Linked DNA regions of Nothobranchius furzeri. The protein of the gene in region 2 interacts with the protein of the main gene of each other region in a pairwise test. Links are inferred from orthologs where the notes say so. Each region holds a gene or a part of one and is shown on either strand. Other genes may lie near its edges.

Region 1 (3,994 bases), on a different chromosome or scaffold from region 2:
GTAAATCAGAATAAGATTAATTATTTTTTCCATCAGTTTAGAGTGAGTGTGTCATCCTGCTACCTACCATTGAACTGGTCCCAAGATTACTGCACATACTGATAATTAGCATCAGGAAGTGTGTTAGGAGTTGCAGCAAAGCTTACATCTGGGTGACCTCTACTCAACGAATGCGGGTTTAAACGGACTTTAGCACTGTCAACACAATGCTGATGCCCTCGCTGGGGCCTCAAAGCACAGTACTGCTTCAGTTCCACAGTGTGTGTGTGTGTGTGTGCGTGCGTGCGTGTGTTGAAGCCCGACGGGCATGTTACACATCCCACAGGGAAATGTGTGTATGCATACCAGCTATGCTATTGCAAGCTTCTACAAGTGTGGCTGATGGAGACCTTCTAACAGCCTGAGACCTGCCCAGGGGACAGATCACATTCACGAATCCAGTCCTGAGCCCCATCCCACAATGTCACTAGGTGGTGAGGATTCCTCCCCTCTAGAGTGCAGGGGGTGTGATATCAGTCCAGTGTTTCTCAAATGGATCTGCCACCTTTGTGCATGTGTGTGTGTTGGGGGGGGGTCATCATGTTGCTGCTTCTATGCAAATGTTTGAAAAGTTGCTGTTAACTTCCCTAAAGAGAAGGGGACGCTAAAATGAGGGATGTGGCTCTGATATGATCGGTTTCTCGTTCACAGGGAGGGTTCAGTTCTCCCAGCAGGGGTGGGAGCACTGCTCAGGGCCGAAATACTTAGATGTGTTGCTCTCATCTACGCTAAAGCCTTTTTTTCTTTTTACACACCTGAGGCTGTGCCACAGCAGGGCGGCACCCACCATGCTGAGGAGAAGATGCTGCTGATGACATCTGGAGGGAAAAGAGTGACATTTCTCTGCACCTGAAGTAAGTTCAGCACAAGAGCCAGGAAGACGCCCACAGAGAACAGCATGCCCCCTCGTATAAACAAGTTGGTGGTCCTGGATAGCAAAGTGAAGGACATTTTGTTTTTATTGTGAAGTAAATTTTAATCTGTTTAGGGCACAGTGTTTGGTACAGTTTATGCTACAAACACGTTACACCCCACTGTTGTAGATCAGAGTTATTCAACTGTAAAACGGGCTCTTCAGGGTTCTCACTAGAAGAATCCAACTATGTAAATGCTGTGATGTTGGTAAGTCAGTACTAACAGGGCATTACAGACCCACCCAGCAACTCTGAAGGCTTACCTGTTGGTGATGGCTGAGATATACGGTCCCCAGGAGCACCGGTGTGACTCTTTGGACCCCGGCCGCTGCCGCCGATCACTGTTGCTCATGGTTGTCAGTCAGGGACATCCGTGAGACTGAACCGGGAAAACAAACAAAAAAGTGCATGAGCTCCTTTTAGAAGAGTTTAGTGTCTGCTGGAGCTCCTTATGTGTTATTGTTGTGTATTTTCTTTAAATTTGTGATTAGTTCACTTTATTTTTTTAAGCATTTATAAAGTTTATTCGTGGATTAATAGTTGTTTATTTTTGTAGTTTGTTTTGTTGTTTACCTTTGTAAGTCAGTCAGGAAAACAATCACTGGGTATTTTGTATAAGGAGGCACTGGTATAGGACCAGCATGCACTGGGGTGTGCGTATGGTTTTTTACCAGAGCAGGAGAAGCAGCAGGAAACAATGGAAAACAGGATCTGTGTTGCCAACCTGGAAAATAAACCTTGAAGAAAACGCAGCTTTCAAGTTTGGACCCTGAACAACTTCTGCCAGCGTACGAAACGTTACCACAGTGCAGCAGCGGCTTTTAAAGTTGGAAAATATGAAGTGAGTTGACAAACAAAGGAACCACCACTACAGTGTCCTTTCCAGACAAATAGGAAAAACACACAAACTAAACACTGCTGCGGGTCCTGTCTAGCACACAGAAAGGTGGCATGTGGAGCTCTGCACTTTTCAGCAGGACCACAGAAACGAAACACAAACGGTTTTCCCATAAACACACAACTGTCGGCCTGCTGTACCAAATTTTACCGAGTACGTTTCACGGTCTCTCCAAGAAAATGTGTCATAATAAATACCTAGTACACACATTATTATTATTAGTAGTAGTATTACTATTACTATTATTATTATTATTATTATTACAACAGAAGACACCAGACTGACTGGAAACGTTGCAGTTAAAATAATAACAGGAGTCAGACGCTGGAGCTGAAACTCTCCAGGTTTGATCAGTAAACAAGAGAACAGCGACCACCCACGCTACCGGAAGGTCACCGACTCTTTATTAATGTCCCACGTTAAACCGCAACACCGGACGAAGGTCGGCCGTAAACAGATGCACGTTAGTCTGTCCTCTCCCCCTAAATCTCACAGGTTTCTTCTTCGGCCTTCTAACACTTTCAGATGAGGTCCAGGGCAGAGGTCAGGAGACGCAGAAGGAGATTTGGACTTTTCCCTAGAACCGGAAATGCTGTCATCGCGTGTTTGACCTCAGCCTGTCAGCAACACTTGCTCCCATGAACCAAACTGCTGCAGCACTAAATAAATGACTAAACACGTCACTTAAATAAAAGTAAGTTAGGGAACAAGTGGAGGTAAAGCTAGCTGAGGCTTAGTTTGGTACATGTGAGCTAGCTGAGGTCCGTCCTGGAAAACGGGTTAAAGTCAAACCTCCTTACCTTATAATGGCTGAGGGTTAGGGGGTGGGCTGAACGCAGCGACACTCTCCAGGAGACATTTGAAGCTGTTCACGTGGAGAAACTACACCAGTATATATCCCCCTTTAAATAGAAGCTTCTGTCTCCGCTTCTAGCTACTTCCGGGACTGAGTTCCAGAAACCAATCAACATCGAGATCCGTGACGTAATCCCTATAAAAAATATCGTTGACATATCACGTGATCAAAGTTACACGCTCAGAATCAGAAGTTTTTATTGCCATATGTGTGCCAAGTCACAACATTAGGAAATTGCTGCGGTATTTTGGTGAAGAAGGTAAGATAGAAAAAAATTAATTAAGAGATAAGCAAATATAAGAACTAATAAAACACTCATGATAAAATTATTAATGTAAAAAGTAGCAAGAATTAGAGAAGCAGCTATCTACTCCTTGTAGGTATTAATCTGAGTGTTTACTGAATCATTCAACTTGAATGGTTCAAGCACAGCATCGGGTCACGTGACTGGGACCAATCAACGAGTGGGCTGCCCTAGCATTTTCATTCAAAAGTCCAACTGCTCGGATCGAATGACTGAAAATATCCCCCAAAAAACGCTTATGTAACCAGAATTTGCGTTTGGAAAACTCACAGGTTGTCTTGAACTTGAAAAATATTAAGAATAATCAAATTAATCAGGATTTGGTGGAGTTTCAAAACAATTATGGACAGAAACAAAAGCTTATTTTCTACAAGTAATGCATGTTTCACCAACGTCAACACAAACATTATTTGGATGACTAATTTATTATTATTAATTATTATTATTATCAATATTAATACTATTATTATTATTATTAATAGTTGTAGTGGTAGTAGTAGTAGTAGTAGTAGTACAAGTACTACTACTACTACTACTAATAATAATAATATTACTGGATTGTTAATAATAATAATAATAATAATAATAATAATAATAATAATAATAATAATAATAATGAGGTCCTCAGAGTCTGAAAGGCGCTATACAAGTATACAATATTGGCTCCTGTCATTGAGATGAAAGAATTAATTTATCACACAGGTTTTTCGAAAAACTTAGCTTACAGAATTTTGTTGAAAACTTCAGTTTTTTTAGATTGTTTTAACCCTAGTTCTTTTTTTAAGTGTTCCCAATGGGACGGGGACACAAGAGATTATTAATCTCATGTATTTCATGTAAAATAAATGTTTAATAAAACTAATGTTCTAACAGCACCTAATTTGACCCCACTGCCTGATGAGTTCAAGTGGAGATGATACAGATGTTGTCTATCTATGGTTTCATTTCCATACCAGTTCATTTAGGGCAGGCATATAATGACC
Region 2 (4,053 bases):
AAAACAACAGACATTATTTAATGTGGATTAAAGGAGATTGGGTGAGCCTGATCTGATTAAATCAGCCTGTAAAAAGATGAGAGAGAGGAAGTACTTACTTGGTGAAGACAGGGCCAGCTGTAGAGAGAGAGAGACGGGATTATTTTACATTTTCACAGCAGCTCAGATCTGTGACATTTCCTGAGCAGATTCATTTTTTTGGGATTAGATTAGTCTTGAAAAACCTCCTAAAACCAGTACTGCTCCCATTCGTTTGTTTTAATTGGCTCCATCTGTCATCAAAGGTTGGAGAGGCCAACCTGCTAATGCGATGTGGGAATAATGTTGGTGCTCCATGATTTTGGAAGAAATTCCCAACACACACACACACACATACACACCCACACCCACAGATGTGTTGAAGAGCATGTCCACAAAGTCCCCAGGTAGCATAACGCTCCCTCCTAAGGAAGGTGTTTTACTCAACCCTCCCGCCATCAATCCTGCTCTATGGTCAACTTTCCTCGCAGGGTCACCCGTTAGGACAGTGGGAGGGTTAAAAAGTCCTTGGTTTGTTTACTGACTTTTATCATTTCCAAATAAGGCAGGGATTTGGATTAGTTAATCCTGTATTCACGACTGCGAAGTACTCAAACCGAGTTATTTAAATGACGTCATGTGAAAACAACAGAAACCAGCTGAGTCACATGACCTGATGGGTGTGTGTGTGTGCTCCTGTAAACACAAAACAGCTGATCAAAGTCCAAAGGCAACAGACACAGAAACGGGTTAAATCGACCAGAAAAAGTGAATAAAGATGTGATTTCTGCAACCTGAATTGACATTTTAGTCGACACAAACTAACATTATCTGCTAAACTCATTTGTTTTATGATTTCAGAACCATTTGAACACAAAGACCAATTAAGAGCAACAATTACAGGGACTTCTAACACATTTGAACTTTAACCCCCTGTGTGTTTTAATTAACTGTACTAATGCGCTGCTGTAAGATTAATCTGAAGTTGCAGCAGATTAACTGATGTCAGCTCTTGTCCTTCTTGCTGAAAAGTTTCATCACACTGCACTTGAGTCCCAGGAGCAGAAGGACCGACGTAACATAGCAACTGCATCGCTCACAAATGTGCAGCAGGAAATTATCCCAATGACCAAAAAATGATCAACATAATACAGAACATCTAAATTCCAGATGTCCAGAGTCCAGAAACGGGTTTTCTAGCCAAAGACTTAGAAACATTAACATTTAGATAAACATGAGGGAATTTACGGCTCAACTATTCCCCCCCCCCCCTTAGACAAAGTCCAAAGTCAAAGAGTGCATGAAATTATGCATAAATAAGACGTGTGCATAAAATAGTTGCCAGATTTTTAGCTCTACAAGTCTCTACAAGTTTGTGGTTACTTCGGTTTGGAAAATGATTCAAACACAACTGTTGTGCACACGCTTTAGAGGCAAAACTGCAATGTCACCCAGAAAGGATGCTTAAAAGTCCAGATTTAGGAAAATGCATAATAATAACTGCAGTCAAACACACACACACTTCTGATCACAGTGACCCTACAGTTGACCTCAATCCTACTTGTTGGCTATAAACTCCCACTAGCCTTAGCTTAAGAGATCATTAGTGCACACAGTTCGTGAATCACGCGCGCGCGCGCGCACACACACACACACACACACACACACACACACACACACACACACACACACACACACACACACACCTGTGATTGTGTGTACATTTTCAACAAGTTTTCAAGGTCAGGTTTTGTGCAAGTTTCTGTGACACTGATAGAAGAAAGCACTAAAAGCAGCTTTTAGGTACAGAAAAGATGCATCCTAAAAAGTAACAATTTTATGAGATTTTTAGATTTGCTGGCATGTCAGATGTTCCAAAATAAAAAAAAAAACAATGATCTCACCAAAAAAAAGCCTGAATTTTTATTGTAAACGTGACATAATTAAGTGATTTTAGTCAAACTCAGAATGAACTGATGAAAAAGTGGTTTGTTTTTGTGTCTCGCAGAGCGGGGCGGAACTAAATCAGATAACATGATACATTCATCCTTTCACACCAGGAGTACATACATTCATCCTTTCACACCAGGAGCCACTAAAACCAGCTGGCAGTAAACGGACACCCAGCACAGGAACAGTGAGCCATTTTGGCCGCTGTCGCCTCGGATCAGACGGGACGTCGCGGGGCGTGTCTCTGCCATCGACTACATATCGGTAAACCGAGGCCAAACAAACGCATGAAAACCGTTTCATACCAGAACAAGTGTCCGCACATGCTGATGACAGCGTCCCTGGCTGTGTCCAAACAAATGTTGCACTCGAACGAGGCTCGGTCCCGTTGGCTGTCGCCGTTGCCGCCTCCATCCGGTCCGTCTCGGTCGTTGCTGCTCTCTCCAGCCGGGAACCCTTCTTTGCTGGCCGGCCCACCGTCACTCGAGAAGCGGGGATTCGTGGCCGCCATGTTTACTGACCTGGTTTAAGAGCGTAACACACCGAGCCAACTCAACCCAACAGGGCCGGCCCGAGCTAACGTAAACCGCTAGTCAGAGGTAGCTGCTGCTGCTGCTACAAAGGACCTTTGGACGGAGCGGACCAGCCCCGGTGGCGCTCCCGTTAAAAGCGCCCGACTCCGTTTCCCCTGACTCCGTAGGCCGGGGGCGGGCATTAGACACGAGGAAAGGGGCGTGGCCATAACAAAAGCAAGTTCATATTTTAATAGTACATTCGACACCATTATTTTGAAAGAACGTAAAACAATCTAATATGTAATGACTCTTGTTTTATTTTTGTGCAGACAGATTTTTTTTCTTACAGCTTTTTATAAAGAAGTTTTTTTTCTTTCTGCCTCTTCTTTCTTTCCTATTCATTTTCTCTCTCCCTTTCCTCATATTTTTTTTTCTAATTTAAACATAATTTTTAAAAAAATCTTTATATCTTAATTATTTGTTTTTGTGAAGCGCCTTATGATTTTTATTTTGAGAGGTGCTACATAAAAGATGTTTTCTTTCTTCCTTCTTTTAGTAATTGTTCCCTACCAACACAGGTCTGTTGCAACAACGTAGTCACAACGTATTTTCTGACACCTTGTCATGCGAGTCCAGTATTGTAGCTTGGCTGTCTGGTAATAGACCCTTTTACTACCTACGTCATCAAAAGTTGCGCGTGCAGCCTGGCAACGAGAGTGAAGGCTTCCTCATTCATACTCAATACTAAAACAGCGTTTTAAACCCTTTGTTTTGAAGTTCTGAGCACATAAAAATGTCGGGTTGTTGCGTGTATGGATGCCAGAATCGCTTCTCTTCAAGCACTGGACTGAAACTTTACAGAATTCCAAAGGGAGCACATCCATTTCAACAAAATCAGAGGCGTCTGTGGCTAGGAAGGACTTCTGCCTTCAAGATGCAAAACTCAGAGTCTATGTGGTGATATTTTACTTTCTGTACGTGGCCACAGACAACATAGTTGTATGCATCTAACGATTTGTATGCCCGTAGCTTCTCACGTGTGTACTTACTGGGCCTCTCCACTAAAAACGTATATATATCGGGCCACTGGATATCTGGCCACGCACCTACATCTTCCACCCATTCCGTAATGCCTCAGGGATCCGGGAGTCTGTTGCGATTCGTTAAAGTGAGTTTAATAATATAACATTCAAGATTTGCCGGTGATAACCCCGCAGCGTAGCTTGATAAAGCCTGACACAACGCCATTCTCTGTTGCCAAGCTGCGCGCGCCTTCTCGCTGACGTCATATTGTTTACAAACAGTAAAAGGGTCTATTTAGGAAGTGTTATCCTGTCAAGGAATTAATTGAGCTCGGCATCTGATGGGTTTGTCTGTGGTGAGTACAAAGTTTGGTAAAAGTTTTTGAAAGTGTTGTTTATTCTTTCAGGATCATAAACTATATTCGATGTTGCAGGAACGTCGTATGTTACGTAGTAGCGACTTCCAAAGTGAAGTTCCGCTACGACGTTGCCAGAACGTCACATAGAGCATTGCTGGAAGGTTGTCGCGACATATCCACAACTTCACT
Region 3 (4,216 bases), on a different chromosome or scaffold from region 2:
CCTGGAAACCAAAACATATGGTGGGCATAGCGTTAAAAACTGCAGTCCAGGAAGATGAACTGCAAACATAAAAATAAAAAAAATAGATACGCCTGATGCAGAGGGTTCGGACAGTGCTGCTGTTTTATTACAAACTCCAGGATGGAAATATATGCTAGGACTTACCTGGTTGAGACGTAATCTGGAGACATGTTTTTGCTCGGCCAGATGTATTTCACAATGACCACGATGGTCACGTACCAGGTTCCCATCACACTAAGGGCACTACAGCAGATGTGGTTAGCAAAGAGTTTAAAAGTTAGAAAAATGATAAATCGGAGTTTAAAAAAGCAGTAGATTCGATTGTTAGATATGTCGTTACCTGGCATATTTTTGAAAGCCAATCTCTTTGGGGATAGACAAAGGAAGGATGACCAGGACTGCAGTAACGACGATGGTAAACTTTCTATCGGTGTACCAGGGGCCGGCGGCTGCACTGTCTGTGCTGTGAACCATTGCAGCGATCACTGGAGCAGTAAACAAGAGTTGCATGACTTTGGGAGGCTGGGAAACGTAGCATGATGAGGACGAACGGAGAATGAAAACTGAAACATGATTAAAGTCATGCACAATTTAAATAAAGTAAAAGACATCAGGATTTCCACTCAGTCAGCATCTCGGTGAAAGAACGCCCGAGTGACATGAGAGGCACACTGACAGAGAAATGCTGAGTGGGGTCATTCTCGATGCTCTTTGCCCTCGTCATTGACAGAACAAGACGTTATGTTTCACTTGCTGCTACGCAAAACATGTAAACTCAGAGGAAAGGCTGATTTTAATCCATTAAAGGGTCATTCTACAAATTTTACTCTGATGTGACCAAAACCAACGCAGCTCATGAGTTGGTTATATACACTCACAGCGATCAAGCTGGTCTCCAATGACGATGAAGAAAGCGATGCACGTGCCGAAGGTGTAGACAGCAATGGCGACTTCACATATGACGCCTGTGACCTTTCCACAAGTGGCTCGAACAACCTCCTGATAGGTGGCTTCATTACTGACCTGAAACCAGCCAGATGATTTTTAATGGTTTATTAATATGTACAAACAAATTTACACCAAAAAGTTTGTCATTCACTATTTTCCGTTGATTGTTATGTAATTAACATGCCGTATGAGAGGGACATTAACGGAGTTTTTCCAGGGTGCTTAAAAAACAGTCCAGACATAAAATGTATTCCATCTGAGGAATAGCACTCATTTATTTTGCATGCCTACTCTCATTTAGCATGCAGCAGCCATATTGATGCTCTTCTGGAGAGCATCGCTGTTAATTATTTAACTTAAAATTAATTAATGAGTAAGTAGGAATTTAGGATGCAGGATCCTTGTTTTTATGTTATTGTTCAGGTGATATGTTCTGTGTCCATTGCACACATTCAATTATCTCTAGAGAATGAATCAAAGTGACTATTTGCTGTTTTTTTATTGCCACCATTTGTTTCAGCACATGAACATTTGAGTGATTGAGGAACTGAAAGTCCTGACTTGTGTGCAAAGTTCTGCATTTGATGCACAGAATGAAAAAAATGTTTCACAATGGATCTTTTCTTTTAAGCCACAAGTGGGAGAAAATATGAAGGCAGACAAAACGGGTTAGAAGTCTAGGGTTCCATTTGCAATTAAAAGTAAAACTAAGTAAAAGAGTACATACCACAGAGCAGTAGCCAAGGATTACAAGTCCATTGATGATGAAGATCAACATAAACTGAAACACAGAAACAGAACATTTGAACAAAAACACAAAAGCATCAGCTGACAGCAGCAGAGATTAAGCCTTGAACAAAACGGAGGACTGATGAGTCCTCACCATCTGAAGAACCACTCCTGCAGTTACTCCTCCTGCCATGCTGAAGGCTGCTGGGAAGTTCAGCAGACCTGCTCCTAGTGCTGCATTCACCACAATGAAAACCGCTCCCAGGGGTGACACATTTTGGTTTCTCTCCTCCAGCTCGGGGCGCGGGACCGAATCCACACTGGGGCTCTGCAAGAGCCATGCTCTTTCCCCAGAGTCACTGCTGCCCATTCCACCCCAGTCCTCAATATCCGTATTGATTGCCATTAGAAAAATGTACAGTGAACCTAAAAGTCTGCGTGAGGACACCTGGATGCAGATAGAAGTGAATGTGCAGATTGATCAGCAAGCAGCTGGAGGTTCTTATCAAGTAGCAGTAAGTCCATTTACTGCTGATGGTTGATCTGTAACGAGACAAAGATTAGACCCCAAAGTGTTGGTAAATAACAGTGAAAGTGTAGTGGTTTTAAAACAATTAATCTTAGAGGTAAAAGCTTTTATAGTTACTGTCTAAGTTAAACACACCTGCGTTTTTCGTCACTATGCGAACACAAATAAACGCAATTTTAGCTGACAGGATCTGATTTTAAACTGTTGAGGTGAATCTGCTGACAGAGAATGTAAGGGAACAAAGGCAGGATGTGGTAAACCCATCGTTTTTCAACAAAAGAGAGATGAGTTTTTTTTTTATTTCATTTCATTTGAGAGAACACCATCGCAGCTCTGTCCAACGGAAGCTAGCGAGAACAAACGAAACCATAATTTTTCAAAACAGACCGCGTATTTATTTAATCACGACAAATAAACTTCATTGTATATTTTAAGAGAAATTATAAAACTATAATAACAGAAAATTACTATTTCATTACCTTCTACCTCCATCTGGGGGAAAGACTGAGCCCCCGATGTGTTTTGGCAGCTTGTTCAAAGTGGAGGACCGGAAGGAATCTTCTTCCTCGCGTGACTCGATACCGTCAATTTTCCGCTCGCAGAGAACTTTGGGAGTTGAAGTTCCTGTTAATGCAAAAACGTACAAAGGAAAGATACATTTTCGAATAAAATTATGCATTTTTGTAGTGATTGGAGCTACTAGAATTTGATGTCAAAACTGACACAAAACCAAAAAATGTTTTATCATAAATAAAATCCAATCTTTATTCAGCATGACCTTCATCTTACCCTCTCCTCATTCAGCTCTTTCTACCATTTCTGCCATTGCCAGGACCCACTGATTATCACTTTATTCATTATCTCCTTCCTTACATTTTAGTTTTCTCATTGTGCTATTTTGTATCATTTTCATTCATTTTTAAATTTTTGTCGTTGTGAAGTTGTTTCTTCTAATCAGAATGAAAATTTGTACAAAATTCCCTGATGCATGAAGTGATACGTACATAGTATGTGAAAAAACAAGTACACAAAAAAATGACTCTTCGAATGATTTATTTGTTCTGCAGTGTACATGACCCATGACCTTCAGATCACACAGGAAGCACCAGCATGAGACAAAGCTCCAGAAATATGAGCAAAGGGAATCAAACTCACATTATAATCAGTGTCTCCCAGTTTCAAGGAAGAGATGCAAACACTGAAACAAGACGTCTGAGCAAATGAATGACCTTTTTCCTTCCGAGACGAGACAGTAAACATAGCCGTTGTCAATCCAAATTCATTGGTATGATATTTTAACAAACATGGAAATGTATTAAACAGAAGTCAGTCAATGATATAGTGTTTCAGTACTCTGCTTACTTTTGTTTCACTCTTGACTTTGGTGCTTATTTAGCATTCAGGGTTTTCAAAAGACCAGCTGAGACTGCTGCCTTGTGGTCACTTAGATTGAAACCATAAGATTTACAAAACCTGTAGGAAAAGAACTGAAAATAAGAGAAGAGCCATTTGTAAATAAAGACAAATAAACAATAAAGAACTGAATGACTGATCAGGTTAAACTAATAGATAACCTGACAAATACCTATATATCCAGTAATTCCAAACTTAAATATTGTCACACATAGTTTTAAGTGCTACACCACCATTATTACATAAATCTAATAAAAAAATAAAGCTTTTCCTACAAGCTTCCACAAAGCAACAGAGATCTCAACCTGCATCTGAAGCTATTATAGATTACCTCAAGGTGTTTGTTGTTTAAATGGGTGAATGAGCCCACAGCAGGTCAAGAGTGTACATTTAGTAGGACAATAGTTCACAGATGACTCCGTGTAATAAATAGGATATCGAGCTCAAAAAGGAAAAACAGATTTTTTTTACTTTGCTAGGGGATCCCGATCAGTGAAAAAGCTGAAAAACCCGAAAATAAACAACCGTTAAATTTAATTATGAAATCCAGATAAGAAAAGGAACGACTAAAGGCCG
Region 4 (4,199 bases), on a different chromosome or scaffold from region 2:
CCAGGAATAAGCTCCTGCCCTGCCATTACCTGCTGCAGCCTGTGGCGAGCTCCGGCCCAGGAATGAGCTCTCCCCGTCCGCTGTGAGGGTTTGAAACACCGCCATCCTCTGCTGGAGACCGTGGCGCGCTGCTGCGCCCTGGTTGTTTATTCTGTTACTGTTACCAGTACTTGTTTTGCAATGTGAAACGCTTTGTCTCAGATTTTGTAAGAAAAATAATAAAATTTACCCTAAAATGCGACTTATAGTCCAGTACGATTTATATATGTTTTTTACTTCTTCATTATACATTTTATGGCTGGTGCAACTTATACTCCGGAAAATACGGTACTCAATCAGAGAACAAGAGCCAATAACAGTAAGTATGAAAAAAAATGAAAATGTTTTTTAAGCCATTGGTTGCAAAAATGTGAGCCTTAACGGACTTGTTATATCGGAGGTTTTTGATGCAGTCCGATATAATCTCATAGTGTTTTTGGGCCGATATCGGAATGGGACATCCGTAGTAATCTTACTAAATTACATCTACAAACCCCTTTCAGAATTTAAACATGTGAATTTAAGACAGCACACCACGACGTAAAAACTATATCATGTTAAACATTTTTTTCTTTTAATAACAAAGATAAGTTTAACTAAATTTAATGTGTGTAATGGGGTTAGGGTTAGTATATCGTATCACACTCTTCTTCGTATAGTTAATATATCGTATCTCCAGTTTCTTGCTAATACAAACTCCTCATCTGAAAAAAATTATGGATTATTGTGAAAAATAATTAGATAATTTCTGTATATATATATATATATATATATATATATATATATATATACATATATACATATACATATATATGAAACAGGGAAGCCAGAGATTATTTCTCTCAGAGTTTTCCCACAAGGCATTTATTCACATAGAGACCACTGCAGGTGTGTAGAAAAAAACCCCGAGTGAACTTGGTCTTTAAATAAACAAAATCCACTGTTATGGATATATTACAATTTCATTTTATATATATATACATATATATTTATACATATATGTATATATATGTATATATATACACACATATATATAATATATATATATATACACACACACACACATATACATATATATATATATATACATATATATATATATACATACATATATGAATATATATATGCATATGTGTATATATATGTATATATATAAAATGAAGTTGTAATATATCCATAACAGTGGATTTTGTTTATTTAAAGACCAAGTTCACTCGGGTTTTTTTTCTACACACTTGTATAGTGAGCTAGATCAGAGAGGAGAAGAAGCCGGCAGGATCTGGAATTTTATTTTCTGGTATTCGGCTATCTCGCCTCTGATTGGCTAACAGAATGAATGAATGCCTTCATTGTCATTACACAAGTACAACGAAAATTCAAAGTACTCTCTCCTAAGAAGCATGAAAAATAATAATAGTAAAAAACATTAAAAGTAGAACCTAGCTAAAAAATAAGTTAATTAAAAAAACACATGCCACGTGTACACAACAGTCACGTTGCTTTCGTCTTACACAATTCAATATTTGCTCGCTGTTAAGCCCTGTTCGTAAGAGATTGTGTCGGCTGTAGATGGTGTAGGCTGAGCAGCACATTATTGTGAGTAGTAGCACTTCACACACACAAGTACCCAAACAAAACAGAGAAAGAGAGAGCGCTGAGCTGCTGCACCTGTGCGTGCCACCATCTTGAGCCAACACTGCAACAAGACTCTTCCATTGACTTCATTTGCTTTGCAATGTTGCGGTTTTATCTCCACAAATAACACTACTTACTACTTGGCCCCTCAATAAATATTATGGCCCTTTTATGGCCCTGTACTCTGACAAATCCTGGATCTGCCACGCAGCTTCAAAGGAAAGTAGTTTTCCTATAAATCAGTAACGACTTAAATTCAAATAGTTTTGTCCGTTGTTAAGCACCAGCAGATAGTGAAAGTGAAAGCCTGTAACTGGACCAACCTTTTCTGTACAGATACCCCAGGAGAAGAGGGGAGCTGTAGTAGGACAGGGACCACAGCACTGAAGCCTAAAAAGCGAGGACAAACTTAAGTCTAATTCATTTAAAATTCTTCCATCTAAATCACATAGAATGTAATACAGACCCAGCCAATAATGCTGTCGGTGTGCTTTTCCAGACCTCTGGGTCGGTAGTTCAATCCCTGTTAGAGAAAACCGTATTTAGTGTTTTTATAACTGAGAACAACAGACATTAGCTTAGCTAGCATAGTCATGTCACGCAGACAGCACATTCTGGGTATGTAGAAGCTTTTTTTAACATTTTAGAAGATTTTCAGCCCTTGTTGTTTTGCATTTGTTCTCTTTTTCCATTATGTGTTTCATCACACTCTCTTTTGGCTAACCTTTGTTCTCAAAATGTCAAAACAAGAAAACGTAAGCTAATGTTAAAGTGAATATTTTACAGCGAAGGTAAAACTGGCAGACATTTTAAATAGATAAATAAGAGTGTTGTTATAGTTTCATTCATTTCAAACTGTCATTCCGGGGTTAGCACTAGCAAGGATTCAATATCAGCTAGAAAAGCAGCGATAAAACTGAACACCTTTCCAGTCTCCGCGGTTCTAAAACAACTCAAAACATCATCTGTCCGTTCCTACCCTTCTGGACGACCTGCTTTCGGTTCGAGGCTGGTCCGGGGGCCGGTGAATTCGTTGAAGATGAGGCCCAAAAACACAGCGCACCCACAGCCAGTCCGCCATTGCTCCACTGCGATCTCGACGGAAGCCCGCGCCGACCACTCCCGTCGAAACTGCGAAAGCGCTCCGACATTCGGCGAGGTGAAAAATGACAATCCAGTAATTTTAGAAACAAAAGTTTCCTTTTATAAAACTATTCTCTGTTACACACACAAATACAGGAAGGTGTGATCTGAAATGCTTGGCAACAACAACAGCAGCAGCAATAATAATAATAATAATAATAATAATAATAATAATAATAATAATAATAATAATACATATTTTTGCACTCTAGTGAATTTGTGAGCTCCACATTGTGCCATGGTCTTCTTCTTCTTCTTCTTCTTCTTCTTCTTCTTCTTCCCAACTGGGGTGCAGTGGTACCAGTACTCTAACTGCTATTCATGTCAATATGAAATAAACAAAACAAAATAAACAATAATACAGAAAGGTTCTGTAGGTTGGGGCTAGAAACCATTGTTTAAGGCAGGGGTTCCCAAATTGGGGGTCGGGGCCCCCAAGGGGGTCCCCACAAGATTGCAGGGGGTCCCAACAATTTTGTCTTTGCTATGGTTGTGTGGTTAACAAGATTTCATTTGAAAAAATAACATTTATAAAATCCCAATAACATAATGACAGAACTCCAAGTATAAGTTATACCTCTGTATAAAGATAGTAACTGGTCACATAATGTGTGTATGTGTGTAGGACTTGGGGTTGGGGGTCCTGGCTTGTCTTGGACACCAGCAAGGGGGTCCTCAAAGAAAATATTTTGGGAACCCCTGGTTTAAGGTACAAGCTTGTGGTTTGTAACCTCAAGCCTTTCTGTACATTGTAAAGTTACCTTCTCAGGGGCCTGGTGGTTAGTGTCCACACTGGGACTAGGAGATCAATGAGTTAAAATCGGGACCCAGTGCCTCCCTGCTAGACATTCAGCTTTAAGAGGTTGGGTTGGGGAATTGAATAGCCAAATTGTTCCAAACCACTGCTGCAGGTCACCACTCCCTACAGGGATAGCTCAAACGTGGAGATGTAATTTCAACAGTGTGTGATAACGACTAATGGGACTTTATCTTTAAACAAAACTCAGTGGGGTGGCCAATCAGACTCAAAGGGTGGCATGTGCTATCCTTGGGAACTCTCTGGACACGCCCCTGCAAAGAGCAGCTGCTAATGTAGATTAAAAACCCAAACAAAACCACAAGCATTTCCAATAAACATAAAAGTTTTTATTCAAGTCCAAACTCCGACGTTCCGTTGTTCACAAAGGCCTTTGTTGCAGCTGTGAAGTGAGAGAATGTGACAGGTGGATGAGGATGAAATGTGGATAGGAGATCAGCCCTGACACTGCTCGTACCTGAAAACAGAGAACAAAGACAAACTCGGTGAAAAATCTCCCGTCCCCCAATCTTTTTATATTTTTTCTTAAACACAAACAGAGGCAGCCCACGCAGCAACAACACAC
Region 5 (3,513 bases), on a different chromosome or scaffold from region 2:
TAAAGATTAAAGTCCCATAGTTGTCACTAGGGCTGCACAATATATCGTAAATATATTGTTATCGCGATATCAGCTTGCACAATATGCATATCACAAAGAACAGATAAATATCGCAATGAATGATCAGCTCAAATGTTTGCTACACATAATGCATTCTGTCAATCAAATGGAAGCCTGATGTTTTTTTTAACAAATCAAATAGAGCTCTTCACCCATTTGGCCAAAAGGGTGGGTTCTCATAGATTAGATGCCCGCCCCTGAGGCGGACAGTACTTAATTTTGATGGTTAGCAAACACATGAGTTAGCTTTGTTCTGCTCTTTTTGCTGATTCTGCTTTTCCTGGGATCCACTGATTACCTTTTCTTGTTCATTATCTTTTTCCCTTTCCTCACATCTTTTGCTTTTCTCGTTTTTTTTTTTCTTCTTTGTTTTTGATTATTTTTGTTCATGAGATAAGTTTTTATTTATTGCAAGTAATATTGTTATCGCAATTTAATCATTGTTATCGAATATAGCCGGTTTTCCTAATATCGTGCAGCCCTAGTTGTCACACACACTTGTGTGGGGAGGCGCGGTGTGCTGCAGACACGGCTGCGCTCGGGAACTATTTCGTAGTTTAACCCCCCAATCCAACCCTTTAAAGCTGTGTCAAGCATTGGGTCCCATTTTTAAAGGCCAAGTAAAAATGCCTTTGTTACCAAGACGAGACCAAGCACATATAATATTAATATCAGATAAGGAGAAACAGCCAGCTGCTACCACTTCAACTTAAGGACAAACTACCAGAGTCCCAAAAAGAAAAAACACCATTTGAAGTCACAGACACCAAAGATGTTTAGGCATAGAAAAATGTGATTGTTGATTTGTGCTCTCCCATTTACTCTGGCAATGCGCATTCCCGTATTGGGGGGCGTGGCCTAGCCGACGGAGGTATGAGAGTCTTTTGACTGTGTTTATATGGAATGGCCAACTTGCTGTGCTGATTTGGTAAAGCAGCTTCAATACCAATGGTTCAGAAAATATGATTACCACCCCTGTAACGTTTATATTCGACAGTAAACATTTGGGTAACCTGTGTTCTTTATTGGGGCACCGGGGGAATGTTTTAGTCATCATTGTCCTTTTTTGTTTTTAGGTGGATTGTAGATATGGAGGGAGCGCCCGGTACACTCTATGAAGGAGAGAAATTTCAGCTGCTATTCAAATTTAGTAGTCGATATCCTTTTGATTCACCTCAGGTAAGAGCAAAGGGTGTGTGTGTGTGTGTGTGTGTGTGTGTGTGTGTGTGTGTGTGTGTGTGTGTGTGTGTGTGTGTGTGTGTGTGTGTGTGTGTTCGCATATTTAAATGGGTCCTACAATTCAACAACCACTTTTACCTTGTTGTTGAATAGAGGCAACTTGAGATGTCTATGTAGCGTACCAAAAAGTCTGCAACTTGTAAATTAGTAAAGTTGTAATGGTCACGGAGAAACGGTTCATCCTGACAAAAACTGGTTTAACGCGTCATAAGCATAGACGCACCTCCCTACATTAGCATGCTCCAACCCACTTCAACATCCGCAATGAATAAACTTTGATCTCAGTAATGCTAACTGCAGAAAAATGCTAGCCCGAGCTACTGCTAATGTTCTTATAAACAAAGGGAAAACACATGTAACGTTCCAGGATGTACAGGGTATATCCAAACTTATAATGAATGCCAGATAGATCTGTAGCTTTCTATTGAATAATATGGATATTGTACACTGCTGTACAGAGATTCTAGCTTGAGCAGTGTCATTGAGCCATTAAACCAGCCAATCAGCATGCAGCTCATTTAATATTCATTATCAGAGCTCCTAGGGCATTGTGGACCCCAACAAAGTGTCATGTGCTTTATATGGCGCTTGCACACTAGCGTCGTAACGGTCGGGGTTTGGTCGGGCAGGATGGCGTGAGTTTGGGCTGGTATGGTCGGTGTAGTGTTTACATATTAATCCGAGGAACTTCTCAAGATGCGGAAATCCCCAAGCCTGTGGGGGGCGCTTAATACGCGCGGGAAAGTCCGTTCCATAAGGTACCAAAAGGCGGACATGAGCTGTGTTGCTTTTGGAGACTCTGAACCACATTATTTTATTAATTTACTCTGTGTCCCCTCATAATCTTGTGCCGCCCACCCCCTGATTTCTCCCCTGAGCAGCTGTCTGCTTGCGAGGGGCAAGAGCTCCGATGCGGAGAATGGGAGCATGCATGCACACACACACACTCAAACAAAGCTATTCTTTTCTCCCGCTCCCACACTTAATAGCAGCTCCGGATCGGCAGCTCCGTGCAACAGACAGAAGTTAACTCAACAGCATCCAGCATGAAAATGAACCGCACATGCAGGAACCCCCGGCTGGCTGATTCTTCTCGCAGATCGGAGGCGGTAGGCGTAATTTCAGCCGGCCAGTCAGTCCGTAGTGTCGCCTCGGTCCCAGTCTGACCGCTGGGGAGAAGGTCTGGGAAAAAGTCGCCTCGGCACTGAAAACGCTAATCGGACCGGTGTGTGAAACCAAATTCCGGTGCCGTTCGGTACCTTATGGGCCCGTACCTACGCTAATGTGTAAGCGCCAATAGAGGCTCAAAGAAAAGCTGTTGTAGATCCACGTTTGTGGATCTTTATCCATACCATACCATACCAAGTTTATTTATAAAGCACATTTAAAAACAGCATGACAGCTGACCAAAGTGCTGTACAGTAGTAGTAAAAGGAAAACCCCAAGATAAAAACAAGATAAATATCATAAAAGAGATAAAAGGGATAACCTAAAAATGTAAAAGAAACATACTAGAGTAAAAACAAAGTCACAATAAAAACAATGCTAAAAGGTTAGCACATTTCAACAGGGAAGATTCTATAACAATAAAAGCTTGGTCATTGATCAAAAGCTAAATAGTAGAAGTAGTCCTTCAGTACAGACTTGAATCAACCCAGTTCTGGGGCCTGTCGAACACTAAGGGTGAGAGCATTCCAAAGTTTAGGAGCAGCGAACACAAAGGCCCGCTCCCCACGAGATTTATACTTCATTTTTGGGATGTACAAAAGTAAATGATCTGCTGATCTCAGGGTTCTGGGTGGAACATGAGGCATGAGCAGTTCTGACAGATGAGCAGAGGCTTGACCATTCAGGATGTTGTAAACTAAGGTTAAGACCTTAAACTGGATACGATATTTAACCGGCAGCTAGTGCAAGCGTGCAAGGACAGGTGAAATGTGACAGCGTCAAGAGGTGTTTGTCAGGAATCTAGCCGCTGCATTCTGCACTCTCTGAAGCCTTATCCAGCCTAGTTGAAAGGGTCACTCATTTCTTACACTGTCTTAGCTTCAGTTTTCTTTTATGATGTTTTGACAGTAATGTTTGAATTCAGCATCACTAGATGATCCGATATTGGCACCTATCTGTTAAGAGTTCTGCAGCGGGGGCACTAAAGCCCAGAGGACCACTTTTCTAAACTTAAGTGGAAAAACTTTTGTGTCTACCTTATGGGTG

The links.
Region 1: the proteins of rnf5 (region 2) and insig2 interact in binary tests that used the Homo sapiens proteins (3 or more experiments, as listed by UniProt). The two-hybrid records come from large-scale screens. The link is inferred for Nothobranchius furzeri from reciprocal best matches to the Homo sapiens genes RNF5 and INSIG2.
Region 3: the proteins of rnf5 (region 2) and slc38a7 interact in binary tests that used the Homo sapiens proteins (3 or more experiments, as listed by UniProt). The two-hybrid records come from large-scale screens. The link is inferred for Nothobranchius furzeri from reciprocal best matches to the Homo sapiens genes RNF5 and SLC38A7.
Region 4: the proteins of rnf5 (region 2) and abhd16a interact in binary tests that used the Homo sapiens proteins (3 or more experiments, as listed by UniProt). The link is inferred for Nothobranchius furzeri from reciprocal best matches to the Homo sapiens genes RNF5 and ABHD16A.
Region 5: the proteins of rnf5 (region 2) and ube2wb interact in binary tests that used the Homo sapiens proteins (3 or more experiments, as listed by UniProt). The link is inferred for Nothobranchius furzeri from reciprocal best matches to the Homo sapiens genes RNF5 and UBE2W.

Annotation. Positions count from the first base shown.
Region 1 is NC_091754.1:36,998,975-37,002,968, forward strand, and holds the start of insig2 (insulin-induced gene 2 protein), read right to left. Parts: upstream 2,814-3,994; 5' UTR 2,652-2,813; intron 1,656-2,651; exon of another isoform or gene 1,527-1,655; intron 1,333-1,526; 5' UTR 1,306-1,332; coding exon 1,217-1,305; intron 968-1,216; coding exon 795-967; intron 1-794. UniProt on the Homo sapiens protein: Oxysterol-binding protein that mediates feedback control of cholesterol synthesis by controlling both endoplasmic reticulum to Golgi transport of SCAP and degradation of HMGCR.
Region 2 is NC_091759.1:8,560,390-8,564,442, forward strand, and holds the start of rnf5 (E3 ubiquitin-protein ligase RNF5), read right to left. Parts: upstream 2,810-4,053; 5' UTR 2,480-2,809; coding exon 2,274-2,479; intron 118-2,273; coding exon 99-117; intron 1-98. UniProt on the Homo sapiens protein: Membrane-bound E3 ubiquitin-protein ligase that mediates ubiquitination of target proteins. May function together with E2 ubiquitin-conjugating enzymes UBE2D1/UBCH5A and UBE2D2/UBC4.
Region 3 is NC_091749.1:57,963,280-57,967,495, forward strand, and holds the start of slc38a7 (sodium-coupled neutral amino acid transporter 7), read right to left. Parts: upstream 2,811-4,216; 5' UTR 2,707-2,810; intron 2,242-2,706; 5' UTR 2,105-2,241; coding exon 1,853-2,104; intron 1,751-1,852; coding exon 1,697-1,750; intron 1,045-1,696; coding exon 900-1,044; intron 507-899; coding exon 362-506; intron 265-361; coding exon 166-264; intron 60-165; coding exon 2-59; intron 1-1. UniProt on the Homo sapiens protein: Symporter that selectively cotransports sodium ions and amino acids, such as L-glutamine and L-asparagine from the lysosome into the cytoplasm and may participates in mTORC1 activation. The transport activity requires an acidic lysosomal lumen.
Region 4 is NC_091745.1:74,550,526-74,554,724, forward strand, and holds the start of abhd16a (phosphatidylserine lipase ABHD16A), read right to left. Parts: upstream 2,803-4,199; 5' UTR 2,756-2,802; coding exon 2,654-2,755; intron 2,198-2,653; coding exon 2,141-2,197; intron 2,065-2,140; coding exon 1,998-2,064; intron 1-1,997. Other genes in the region: g6fl (g6f-like), read right to left, coding at 3,968-4,016. UniProt on the Homo sapiens protein: Phosphatidylserine (PS) lipase that mediates the hydrolysis of phosphatidylserine to generate lysophosphatidylserine (LPS). LPS constitutes a class of signaling lipids that regulates immunological and neurological processes.
Region 5 is NC_091747.1:53,051,282-53,054,794, reverse strand, and holds part of ube2wb (probable ubiquitin-conjugating enzyme E2 W-B), read left to right. Parts: intron 1-1,136; coding exon 1,137-1,239; intron 1,240-3,513. UniProt on the Homo sapiens protein: Accepts ubiquitin from the E1 complex and catalyzes its covalent attachment to other proteins.